Macaca mulatta: one gene and its partners. The protein of the gene in region 2 interacts with the protein of the main gene of each other region in a pairwise test. Links are inferred from orthologs where the notes say so. Each region holds a gene or a part of one and is shown on either strand. Other genes may lie near its edges.

Region 1 (4,264 bases), on a different chromosome or scaffold from region 2:
GGCACGTATTTGCACAGCCCGTGGGGCTGGGAAGGTGTGTTTGTCCTGAAGAGAGCCTCTCCCTGGGACCCCAACAGCCAGGACCATGGAGCTCCCTTGCACCAGGCTGGAGTCAGCAAGACCCTGGAGGTGTCAGAGGTCCAGTCCACTCAGCAGGGTCGGGAAACACTGTTCCGGAAGCAGGCAGGCTGGATTCCTCGCTGGTCCTGCCACATCTCTCCCAGCGGAGACCCAGATTCGCTCAGTTCCCATCCAAGGTATTCAGCACACCTGCTCCAGGCAGCCACGCCCCCGGACACCTGAAGCTGGGACCCCGCAGCAGGAGCCCACCAGACAAATCCACGACACCTCCTCAGGCTTCTGGGTCGAGTTCTCCATCATCCGGGCACGACCCTGTCTCATCCAACCAGACTAGGAGAAAGAGGGGATGGTGACACCTGGATGCACCCCGCCCCCACCACACCCAGGCCCGCTTCCCTGGGAGCTGCAGGGCTGAGGCCTCTGGGATTCCTTGCTTTCTGGTGCTGCCAGAGGCAGAGATGGGACCCAGCCCAGTGATGCTGGATCCTTCTGGGTGAGTCGGATCCCGGAGCTGCTTAAGTTTCAGAGGAACTCCTCCCAGGGTTCAGGAACCTCCCTAGGGCTCGGACCCTGCAGAGTAACCCTGTGTCTCCCCTCTGCCCACACTGGTCCTGGAAGCAGGCAAAGTGGCATGATCCCATTTTATAGGTGAGGACACAGGCTCAGAGAGGGAAGAGACTGTGACAGCTGAGCTAAGGACCTGGGCCTCTGTCCGCCCACACTGGGCTCTCTGATTAGACAGCACTGGGGTGCAGGAGGAGCACTGCAGCAGGAGCCCAGCTCTTCTCCCACCTTGCTGTGTGTCCCTGGGCAAGGCACTGTCCCTCTCTGGACCTGTTTGTTTCCCCATTTCTAAACTAGAGATAAGGGTTGGAATGAGAATTAAATGAGATTTGTGAAAAGCATTTAGCCTGGTGCCAGGCACTTGGAAAGGTCACAGAGGAAGGCACCCCACTGCACCCACCATGGCTCCACCCAGCACCTGCACTGGTCCAACCCAGAGGGGCCTGACAGCTTTCTCCCAGTCACTTGCTCTGCCGGGCAAGCGGAGACCCAAGCTCAGGACATCTGGAAGGGTCTACAGATCCCCCCTCCCAGACAGCCTTCCACGTACCCTACATCAGCCTCATGGGTGCCGTGTCGCTTACATGGGCCCAGCGAGACCCACGTCACAATGGCTGTCAACTAACTGATGCCACCTGTGGGGAGGGCATCCGGCCTGGGGGCCATGGTGTGAAGTGCAGATCACACAGCCTGGGGCTGCTTCCCCGCTGCACCACTGACCAGCTGCACGGCAAGTGTCTCAGCCTCTCTCAACCTCAGATTACCCATTTCTAAAATGGGGATGCGGCTGGGTGCGGTGGCTCATGCCTGTAATCCCATCACTTTGGGAGGCCCAGGCAGGCGGATCACCTGAGGTCAGGAGTTTGAAACCAGCCTGACCAACACGACGAAACCCCATATCTACTAAAATACAAAAATTAGCTGGGCATGGTGGTGGGCACCTGTAATCCTAGCTATTCAGGAGGCTGAGGCAGAAGAATCACTTGAACAAGGGAGATGGAGGTTGCAGTTAGCCGAGATTGCACCACAGCACTCCAGCCTGAGCAACAGAGCAAAACTCCATCTCAAAAAATAAATAAATACAAATAATAAAATGGGGATGAAATCTGTACTTAACTCTGAGAATTCCTGTAAGAACTAAATAAGAAAATCCACTCATTACACTCAGTACAGTGCAACCTATCATGACCATCCCCAATATCATTATTATTCATAGCAGCAGCCTTCAGCACCTGGTGTAGGCCCAGCTCAATAAATCTTTGCTCGATGAATACGTGAACAATTTGTCCCACCAGCACCAGAGGTATCACCGAGGGGCAGGTGGGGGAGCCGATTTGGGCCTGTGTCCCACCTCCTCACCCTCTCCCTGGGAAGAACTCTATTTCCTCCCTGCTCCCAGCAGTGAGCTGCATCTGGAAGGCCCAGGGTCCGGCCCCAGCCTGGGCATGGGCTGTGTTTCCCAGTCTGTCCTGTCCAGCCAAACTGCAGCAGCCAACAAGACGGAGGAGCGGTCCTCCCGCTGGCAGGGGAAGGAGCATCCATCAATTACCTTGGCTGGCGGGAGCCACAGTGTGGCAGGCCAGCCCGGCCCCATCCATCAATCGTACTGGCTGCTGGCAGAGGCTGTCTACTAATTACTTAACACGCCGCGTCGTGCTGAGGCTGGCGCCGTGGCAGGGGGCTCACGGTGCAGTGTACACAGGTCTGACCATAAATGCTTAATGAACCCAGGGGGAGGTGGGGACGCAAGCTCGGCCCCGTGGCCCAGAAGGACGCCCCTGAGAGCTGTCTCCACCAGGCCACCAGGCCCCCAGACCCGACCCTGCTTGGCGGCAGAGGAGACGGCCTCACCTGTGTTCCCCGAGTCCCTCGGCAGCATCATGCCTGTGGGGGTGGGGGGCGTGATGATGATGTCGGGCACATCCAGGTGCTTGTCGTTCAGGACGGGGGCCTCTTCGTGGCTGCTGCTGCTGCTGCTGACACACATTTTAAAGCCTGAGAAGCCAGGCGTGGAGCACACACGCACGTACACACACAACAGAGAGACAGGCATCAGTGGCCGCCAGGAACCGCGGGTGCCACCCCCCCTTCATCACCTGAGTCCTGACGCCTCGCAGCAAGGGGCGCAGCTGTCCCCGCATCACAGATGAAAACCTGAGTCTCAGGAATGTCAAAGGAGCCCCCAACACATCTCCCAGAACCATGAGTCGGGAAACAGATTTTGGGAAATGCTGATCACAGGCTAGTTGGCCTCTAGGTCCAGTTTTCAGCCTTCACCATGTGGCCCAGCCAGCTGCAGCCCCATTTCTGGCCACCAGCCCCTACTCTGCAAAGCGCTCACACTTCCCCAGACTCCCTGGGCTCCCGGGGCCCTTTTGTGCCTTTGCATATGCTGTTCCCCCGGCCTGGGATGCTCTTTCTTCCTCTGCCTGAGTAACAAGCTCCTGCTTATCCTTCAAAGCCTGGTGCAACGGGCTCTTCCTTGGGAAAGGTGTCCCAGCAGATCTGGCCTCTCCCTCTTCTGCCTGTCTGCGTTTACTCATTCATCAATGAATGACACGATTTGTTTTTATTTCTACCTCTCTTTGCTGTGAACACCTGGAGGACAGTCTCTACTTCATTCATCTGTGTTTCCCTTGAGCTCAGCACATGCTCGAGACAGAGTAAGTAGGAGTGCTTTAAATTTTAAATGCGGGCTGGGTGGTGGCTCATGCCTATAATCCTAGCGCTTTGGGAGGCCGAGATGGGCAGATCACTTGAGGTAAGGAGTTCAAGACCAGCCTGGCCAACATGGTGAAACCTCGTCTCTACTAAAATACAAAAATTAGCTGGGCGTGATAGCACACACCTGTAATCCCAGCTACTCGGGAGGCTGAAGCAGGAGAATCACTTGAACCCGGGAGGCAGAGATTGAAGTGAGCTGAGATCGCACCATTGCACTCTAACCTAAGTGACAGAGTGAGACTCCATCAAAAAAAAAAAAAAAAAAAGGCCAGGTGCAGTGGCTTACAACTATAATCCCAGCACTTTGGGAGGCCAAGGCGGGCAGATCACCTAAGGTCAGGAGTTCAAGACCAGCCTGACCAACACGGAGAAACCCTGTCTCTACTAAAAATAAAAATAAAAAAATTAGCTGGGCATGGTGTTGTGTGCCTGTAATCCCAGCTACTCGGGAGGCTGAGGCAGGAGAATCGCTTGAACCTGGGAGGCAGAGGTTGAAGTGAGTTGAGATTGCACCATTGCACTTCAGCCTAAGTGACAGAGTAAGAATCCATCTAAAAAAAAAAAAAAAAAAGGCCGGGCATGGTGGTTTACACCTGTAATCCCAGCACTTTGGGAGGCCGAGGTGGGCAGATCACTTGAGGTCAGGAGTTCAAGACCAGCCTGGCCAACATGGTGAAACCCCCGTCTCTACTAAAATACAAAAATTAGCTGGGCGTGGTGGCACACACCTGTAATCTCAGTTACTCAGGAGGCTGAGGCAAGAGAATTGCTTGAACCTGGGAGGCAGAGGTTGAAGTGAGCTGAGATCCTACCATTGCACTCCAGCCTAAGTGACAGAGTGAGACTCTGTCTAAACAAAAAGAAGGCCAGGCACGGTGGCTCACACCTGTAATCC
Region 2 (4,324 bases):
ATATGGAAAGAAGGGCATTCAAGCACACTAAAGAAACCTGAGGTAAGCATAATCTGTACAAAATTAAACTGTCCTTTTTGGCATTTTAACAAATTTGCAACGTTCTTTTTTTTTCTTTTTCTTTTTTTTTTTTTTTTTAAGACTGCCTAATTCAGTTTATAGCCATTGTCTGACAAGAGTAGCAAAACATTATCAATAAATAGTCCTTAGTTTGTACATCATTTTGTTAAAAATGTTTGATGTCATCCATTTTTAGTGCTGCGACTGTAAACGTACAATAGAATAAGAAATTAGACAAAGTTTTTCATGTCCAGTAACAGAATAAAAGGCCTTTCATTAACCTATCTAGAAGTCCCCAACGCAGTAGGAAAACATGTTCATTCCCCTAACATTGCAGTATATACTAGCATTAGCTTTCTTTTTAAAATTTTTTTTCTCTATAAGCATTTTTAAAAGGCATACCCCAAAGAGGTGTTTAATCACCACCCCCACCAAAATATAGTTTATTATCTCTCTCCCTCTTTTTTAATGATAGTGTAAACTGAATCCAATTCCTGGCCCCCAGAGCAAATAAGCTACTGTCAGAGGCAAGAACATCCAACTGCTGATATGCAGCAATCCCCATCATGCCCTGCAGCTCAAAAAAAAAAAAAAAAAAAAAAAAAAAGTGAACAGGAAGTGGTCACTGAATATTGCTGCTATTACTGCCATTGCTGTCCGTGCCGTTAGTCTCTGAGGTGAGAGCCTTGTTGATGGAGTTAAGGTTGGCGTCAGAGGGCATGGCATCTCTGCGAGGCGGCATCCTCTCATTAATTCGGTCTAAGCCCTTGGCTTCCTCGAAGCTAGTGATCTTATGTTGTGGTGAAAATCCTTTGATAGCTAAACAGAAAATCATTAAAAAGAGAAAAACAGGATTATCCAAAGGAAAACAAAAGGCACAGCTGTTGCAGCAGGTGATGTTAGAGATTTCTCAGTGAGAGGGAATCCTTCAGTGAAGAACAAAGTGACGGGACCTGCACACCACACAACAGACTCCTTACCATACTCGGAGGTAACCAAAGGTTTGAAAACAGCCAATGTCTCTTGCCAACCAAAATGTCCTCTTGAAGTTATTAAGATGTAAACATTTCTCCTGTCTTCATGAAAGTTTAGATCAAAGAAATTCAAAGTGGACACGTAAAGAGGAAAGCTGCTTTCAGGGACAAGCCTCTAGAACCAGCATCAACTGGCCACATCATTAGCATGATTACTGCATCAAACACCTTAATCTAGACAGGCTGCAGCATGTCCCTCTTTGTATTCTTCCATTGTGCTAGGTAATGGCAAATTCAGTGGAATCAGTATGTCTGCTATACCTAAAAACCTAGTAAAGGGCTTAAAGCAGGAGCTAAAAGGAGCTAGAAAAGGAATTAACTAGGGCATTTCCATGCCATCTCAGAATCCCAGAAAGAACTTCTTGACAAACAACTCAATGATGGCATGAAAAAAAACGAAATTATAAACTCCTGTTTCTCCACTCAACTTTGGAAGCATGTGGAGTGAGTGACAAGGTAAGAGAAACTCAAAAAAAATCAAGGTAAGATCACTAGGTAGAAACGTATTATCTGCCCTTCAGCAGCGAACAGGTCAAACTGATGTTCATCTGGTATCCATTACTGCCTAAATGAAAGAAAAACTCAGTAGATCAACGTAATGTAAGTGATGGTTAAATTATAACAAGGAAAAAATGCCTTTCACAATATTTAGCAAAAATGAATTGAACTGGTTTTGGTCCTATTCAATTAAAACACGGAATCTCAAAGTGGGAATGATACTTGATTTTTTAAAAAAGTAATCTTTAGTGTGCTACAGAGATGGGTAAGGCATTTGTACAAAAATCTTAATGATTTCTTCAGTGAGTACACCAACTGGTGAGCTGCAAATAAAACACATAAATGGGGAACCAATGACATCAGTTTGCTTTACTCCCTGTGAAGTGCAAGCCAGATATTTCAGGGCCAATCACCAATGCTCAATTGGGCTGCATCACCATGGCTGATTAAGGATAATTTCATGGTACCTTTATCCTCCCAATCTTATTTGGGGGAGAAAAAAAAAAAAAAAGAAAGCAGTTTCAAGCTGAAATTTACCAGTCACTCCTACGCAAATGTGCAGTGCCTTTTATTAGTATGGATGAGATTCCTAAAAGATATACACAGTCGTTTCAATACTCATTAAACGATAAGAAACAAGTTTCCCCCCCCTCTGCATTTTAAAGGTTAGCATAATGGTGATTAGTCAACTGTGAGAGGAATAAGATGGGGAAATGGGGAAAGACCAAGGCCCAAAGCAAAGCTTGTTAATTCTTCTCTAATTTAGTAATAAATTGCAAAATAATAGAGCTGTCTAACGAGCACCCACCCTGAAAACTAACTCAATTATTTTGATGTACAAAAGAATGGCACGAAGTGGTACTCTACTGGTTTTTTTTTTTTTTTTCAGACTACTGTGAATATAATTTCATCATAATTAACAGGTATAAAAGTTTGTCATCATTATCATTTATGAAATGATTTAATTAATTTAAATGATAAAAGTGAAATTTCTAGGTTTTAAAAGCCAATAGGGTGGGAGTGTCAAAATTAAAAATCTAGCGAGAACAATGGATACTTCTGGAATGGGGCTCCATTTCTAATCATTTTTGTCCATCCTGGTATGGAAGAATGTGCTCTGCTGTAGTTGCTGGTCAGACAATGGGTATTAGCAATTTACATTGGTAGTATACTTAACACAACACAGAGTCACAGAAACCACAGAAAACAGCCAAACTATCAACAAGAATGCACACTGCAGATTAGAATTTGCCAAGAGGAATAGAGAATTCCCACATAAATAGCAGTTTATTCACTGCTATTTAGGAAGCAGTTGTATTTTCTCTTACAGTGCTATTGTTTCCCCTACCATACCCAAATCATGTACAAATTGGAAGAGTCTAAAGTGGCACTTTTTATATCATACCAAAGGACCATATATGCACATAATTTTGAGAAAAACAAAAAAAATACCTTGCAAGAACAAAATACAACTGAAGAATTTTGTTTTAAAGGGGAACTTCAAATTATTATTTTTGAAATTTCCAAAGGATATGGTATGTATATTATTAACAACTATTTTGATTATGCACTTCTCTTATAACTATATATTTAAAAAGCAGTCAAGTAAAAAGCAATTACTAAAGGGTCAACTCTACTGTCCTTGAGTAGTGCTAGGACACAGCTGGAGATGGACACTTCTTTATTTCCCCTGCAGCTCCTAGTACTGTGCCTGGCACAAAGCAGACACTCAGTATACATTCATCAATTGAGTGTTACTTGATACTTGCTATTCTTGTTATTGGCCACTTACATAGCCACTAGATGCTTTTGAACTTTTTATAATATTTAGATGGTGTTAATTCTCATACAAATACCAGTAGGTTAAAATTTGATTTAAGATTACCAGAACTGTTCATCTCATGCACAGCTGTCTCATGTTGGAATATTTTTTAGAGACATAAATTAATGTTGAACTACAACAAAGCACTATTTAAATGAACATTTTTTTCCTTTGGCTACAAACTTCTGAAGACTAGAATTAAGATGGCTATTTTTATTATCTTCAGTGCTGCCTGAAAGTGATTTGAGGGAGGGACATGGTTCAGCTCAAAGATTATTGTTTTATAAGCTACTGGTCAAAACAGCTGCCATAACCCCCACCCCACATCATTCAAAATATATAATCCTTTTGTTTTCTGTGATTCTATTATTCATCATATACAAAAGTCAAACATAGCTTTAAGGGAAAGAAACAAACAAACAAACCATAGAAGGACATTTTCCCCTTTAAAGCAAGAACACTTTGGTTAATACTGAGCCACAACTGTTAGCTCAACACCCACACACTCTGTACAAGCTACAGCAAAAAAATGAATACACCCAGCAGAGCCCTTATCTGTTGCAGGTACAACAGAAAGGGGACTGGCCAATTTACCTTCATCAGCCTCAATAGCCTCAACAGTAGCTGAAGAGAAGAAAGGGGGTGCAAAATGAATGAGAAAAATGAGCAGAGGATTTTTTAACTCTAAGAACAAATCAGTGACCATCAAAGGAGCTAAGAGAACTAATGTTCCTGTAAGTGCTAGATTCTGGCACAGACAACAAAACAGAAATGCTAAAAAGAAAGAAAAAAAAAAAGCCACAGAAATTATAAATTTAATTTATGAGCTGGATACACCTATCTGAATTAAATGCTTTGGTTTTTGCCCACTAAATAAATAACAAACAATCAACCCTTTAGGAAAACACTT
Region 3 (3,239 bases), on a different chromosome or scaffold from region 2:
TAGAATCTTATACATTCAGCTGAAATAGTCTCCATAGAAAATAATAGGCTCATAGTGAAATAAAATACCACTTTCTTTTCTCTCATCAGGTTGATCTTTAAATAAAGCAAAAATTTATTCAAGAAAGGGCTTTCATCAAGAAATTAAAGAGAGAAATTACAAGCAATAGAGAAACTGGGCATTTCTATACTAGAGAAACCACCTAAAACAACTGTATGGAGTAAGATGAAAGGTATGAATATGCCTGGATGAAATTTTACCTAGTGTGACATTTTTGCCCATCTTTTTGTCACAAAAGGCTGCTAAGGAAGAGAGAATATAGTTTTCTAGAGAATAAGAGTACAGTGTAAAAATGGAAACCACAGTTTCAGAAATTCATGTAGAAAACAAGGATGAGAAGAGATCAGCAGAAGGTAGTCCTGGGGCTGAAAGACAGAAGGAAAAGGCATCCATGCTTTGCTTCAAGAGAAGAAAGAAAGCAGCTAAAGCACTGAAGCCCAAAGTTGGCTCTGAAGCTGCTGATGTGGCAAGGAAGTGTCCCCAAGAAGCAGGAGCTTCTGATCAGCCAGAGCCCCCACGGGGGGCCTGGGCCTCACTCAAACGTCTTGTAACACGCAGGAAAAGGTCAGAGTCTTCAAAGCAGCAAAAGTTATTGGAGGCTGAAGTGCAACCTGCAATAAACACTGAGGATGCTGATCTTTCTAAGAAAAAGGCAAAATCTAGACTTAAGATTCCCTGCATAAAATTCCCAAGAGGGCCAAAAAGGAGTAATCATTCCAAAATTATAGAAGACTCAGACTGCAGCATCAAAGTCCAGGAAGAAGCTGAAATTTTGGATATACAAACACAGACCCCATTGAATGATCAGGCAACAAAGGCTAAGTCAACCCAGGATCTAAGTGAAGGCATCTCACGGAAAGATGGTGATGAAGTCTGTGAATCAAATGTGAGCAATAGCATAACTTCTGGAGAGAAAGTGATTTCAGTAGAACTTGGATTAGATGATGGGCATTCTGCTATTCAAACGGGAACTCTAATCCTTGAAGAAATTGAAACGGTCAAGGAAAAACAAGATGTTCAACCCCAGCAAGCAGGCCCACTTGAAACTTCAGAAACAGACCATCAGCAAACAGTACTTTCTGATGTTCCACCTTTACCTGCAATCCCAGCTCAACAAATTATGGAAGAAGCCAGTAACAATATCCTAAAAAGTGCACCAAATGGGAAAGACTATGAAAGTAGAGAGATTGTAGCTGAAGAAACTAAGCCAAAAGATACTGAATTGAGCCAAGAATCAGATTTTAAAGAAAATGGGATCACTGAAGAGAAGTCCAAATTAGAAGAAAGCAAACGAATAGAGCCCATTGCTATTATTATTACAGACACTGAAATCAGTGAATTTGATGTTAAGAAATCAAAAAATGTCCCTAAGCAATTCTTAATTTCAACTGAAAATGAGCAAGTAGGGGTTTTTGCTAATGATAATGGTTTTGAGGATAGAACTTCAGAACAATATGAAACACTCTTAATTGAAACAGCCTCTTCTCTTGTCAAGAATGCTATTCAGTTGTCAGTAGAACAGCTGGTTAATGAAATGGCCTCTGATGATAATAAAATAAACAATCTTCTACAGTGACTTACTCTCCAGAGTCATGGCAGGAAAAATAAGCTTAATGAAGAATTCTTTTATACATTTGTGGCATTTCTTACTCAGTAACAAATGAGAGATTTATCATCTCTAGAACTTAAAAGGTACAATTCCAGCGTAGAAGTGCTAAAGATTAAGTCAAGTTTATAAAACTCTACCACTGAAATGCAGTCACTTCTGGATTGGAGGAAGTCAGCACAGATTGCAGTATAAAGTGACATAACATACAGGGAGTTGCTAAAACGGCATATGGAGATTGGAGTGCTTTGGGGGAGGAAGATGTATTTATTGAGCACTTATGGTATGCCATAAGCTTTTTAATGACCTCTGATATAACAAAGTCTGGTTTCCTTTTGATAATTCAGCTGTGTATAGGCTAACATCACATTGAGTTTTTAAAAACTTATTTTTACAGTGCACATATATGTTGTTTAAAATGGTGAATAAGGTGAGCTACTTTTGTGAATGTGATTTGTAATTGTTACATTCCTAAGCAGTAGGCTTAACTCAAAAAATACATTGCATTTTCCCAATTTCAGCAGATAGTGTGCAGAATACGCATATTGAAATTAAACGTGAGTGGTTTTCTAGTCTTAAGTCCCTTATAAGAGCTATTTGGCCGGGTGTGGTGGCTCACACCTATAATCCCAGCACTTTGGAGGCCAAGGAGGGTGGATCAGCTAAGATCAGGAGTTTGAGACCAGCCTGGCCAATGTGGTGAAACCCCGTCTCTACTGAAAATACAAAAATTAGCTGGGCGTGGTGGCGTGCGCCTGTAATCCCAGCTACTTGGGAGGCTGAGGCAGGGGAATTGCTTGAACCCGAAAGGTGGAGGTTGCAGTGAGCCAAAATTGCACCACTGCACTCCAGTCTGGACACCAGAGCAAGACTCCATCTCAAAAAAGAAAAAAAAAAAAAGGAGAACCATTCACAAATCCTTCAATCAGGCAAACTGTTACTAAGTGCAAAAGTGTAGAAAAAGGAGTGGGTTTTTCCCTCTCTTCTTTCTGCCTCAACAGATCTGTATATATCCATTTCTGCATGGATTTATCTGTGAAAAGTTAAAAAACGAAACAGCAAAAACAAAACAAGTGGAATATTCTTCTTCATCCAGAAGAAGGGAAAATTCCCAATTAAATTATCATAGATAATATAGGATTCATCTTGCAGAATTACTTCTTTAAGAGCCATATTCATCAACCTCTCTCCAAAGAGGCGAGAGTAGATTCAAAGCCAGGCTGGTAGTAATGGTCCTGGAAAATCCTAATAATCTAGTGCAAATATTATTTATTTTTGGCCAAAAATGAGCCATGAATGTGGGTGAATAGAAAGTGAAAAGTTAAAGCACATTATAATTTAAATGTCAATATTACTTCCTGTCTGTGTGTTGAGAGAAACCAGTAAAAATCATTTTACATGGATATTGACAATTAACTTTTTCATCACTATTTTCCTTTCTTTTCTTTTTTTGAGACGGCGTCTTGCTGTCACCCAGGCTGGAGTGCAGTGGCGCGATCTCGGCTCACTGCAAGCTCCACCTTCTGGGTTCATGACATTCTCCTGCCTCAGCCTCCCAAGTAGCTGGGACTAC

What was found.
Region 1: the proteins of PPP3CA (region 2) and C20H16orf74 interact in binary tests that used the Homo sapiens proteins (3 or more experiments, as listed by UniProt). The two-hybrid records come from large-scale screens. The link is inferred for Macaca mulatta from reciprocal best matches to the Homo sapiens genes PPP3CA and C16orf74.
Region 3: the proteins of PPP3CA (region 2) and AKAP5 interact in binary tests that used the Homo sapiens proteins (3 or more experiments, as listed by UniProt). The link is inferred for Macaca mulatta from reciprocal best matches to the Homo sapiens genes PPP3CA and AKAP5.

The regions. Positions count from the first base shown.
Region 1 is NC_133425.1:81,095,309-81,099,572, forward strand, and holds the start of C20H16orf74 (uncharacterized protein C16orf74 homolog), read right to left. Parts: upstream 2,835-4,264; 5' UTR 2,699-2,834; coding exon 2,497-2,698; intron 412-2,496; coding exon 353-411; 3' UTR 1-352.
Region 2 is NC_133410.1:110,350,174-110,354,497, forward strand, and holds the end of PPP3CA (protein phosphatase 3 catalytic subunit alpha), read right to left. Parts: intron 4,039-4,324; coding exon of another isoform or gene 4,009-4,038; intron 880-4,008; coding exon 683-879; 3' UTR 641-682; downstream 1-640. UniProt on the Homo sapiens protein: Calcium-dependent, calmodulin-stimulated protein phosphatase which plays an essential role in the transduction of intracellular Ca(2+)-mediated signals. Many of the substrates contain a PxIxIT motif and/or a LxVP motif.
Region 3 is NC_133412.1:137,562,849-137,566,087, forward strand, and holds the end of AKAP5 (A-kinase anchor protein 5), read left to right. Parts: intron 1-89; 5' UTR 90-352; coding exon 353-1,636; 3' UTR 1,637-2,736; downstream 2,737-3,239. UniProt on the Homo sapiens protein: Multivalent scaffold protein that anchors the cAMP-dependent protein kinase/PKA to cytoskeletal and/or organelle-associated proteins, targeting the signal carried by cAMP to specific intracellular effectors.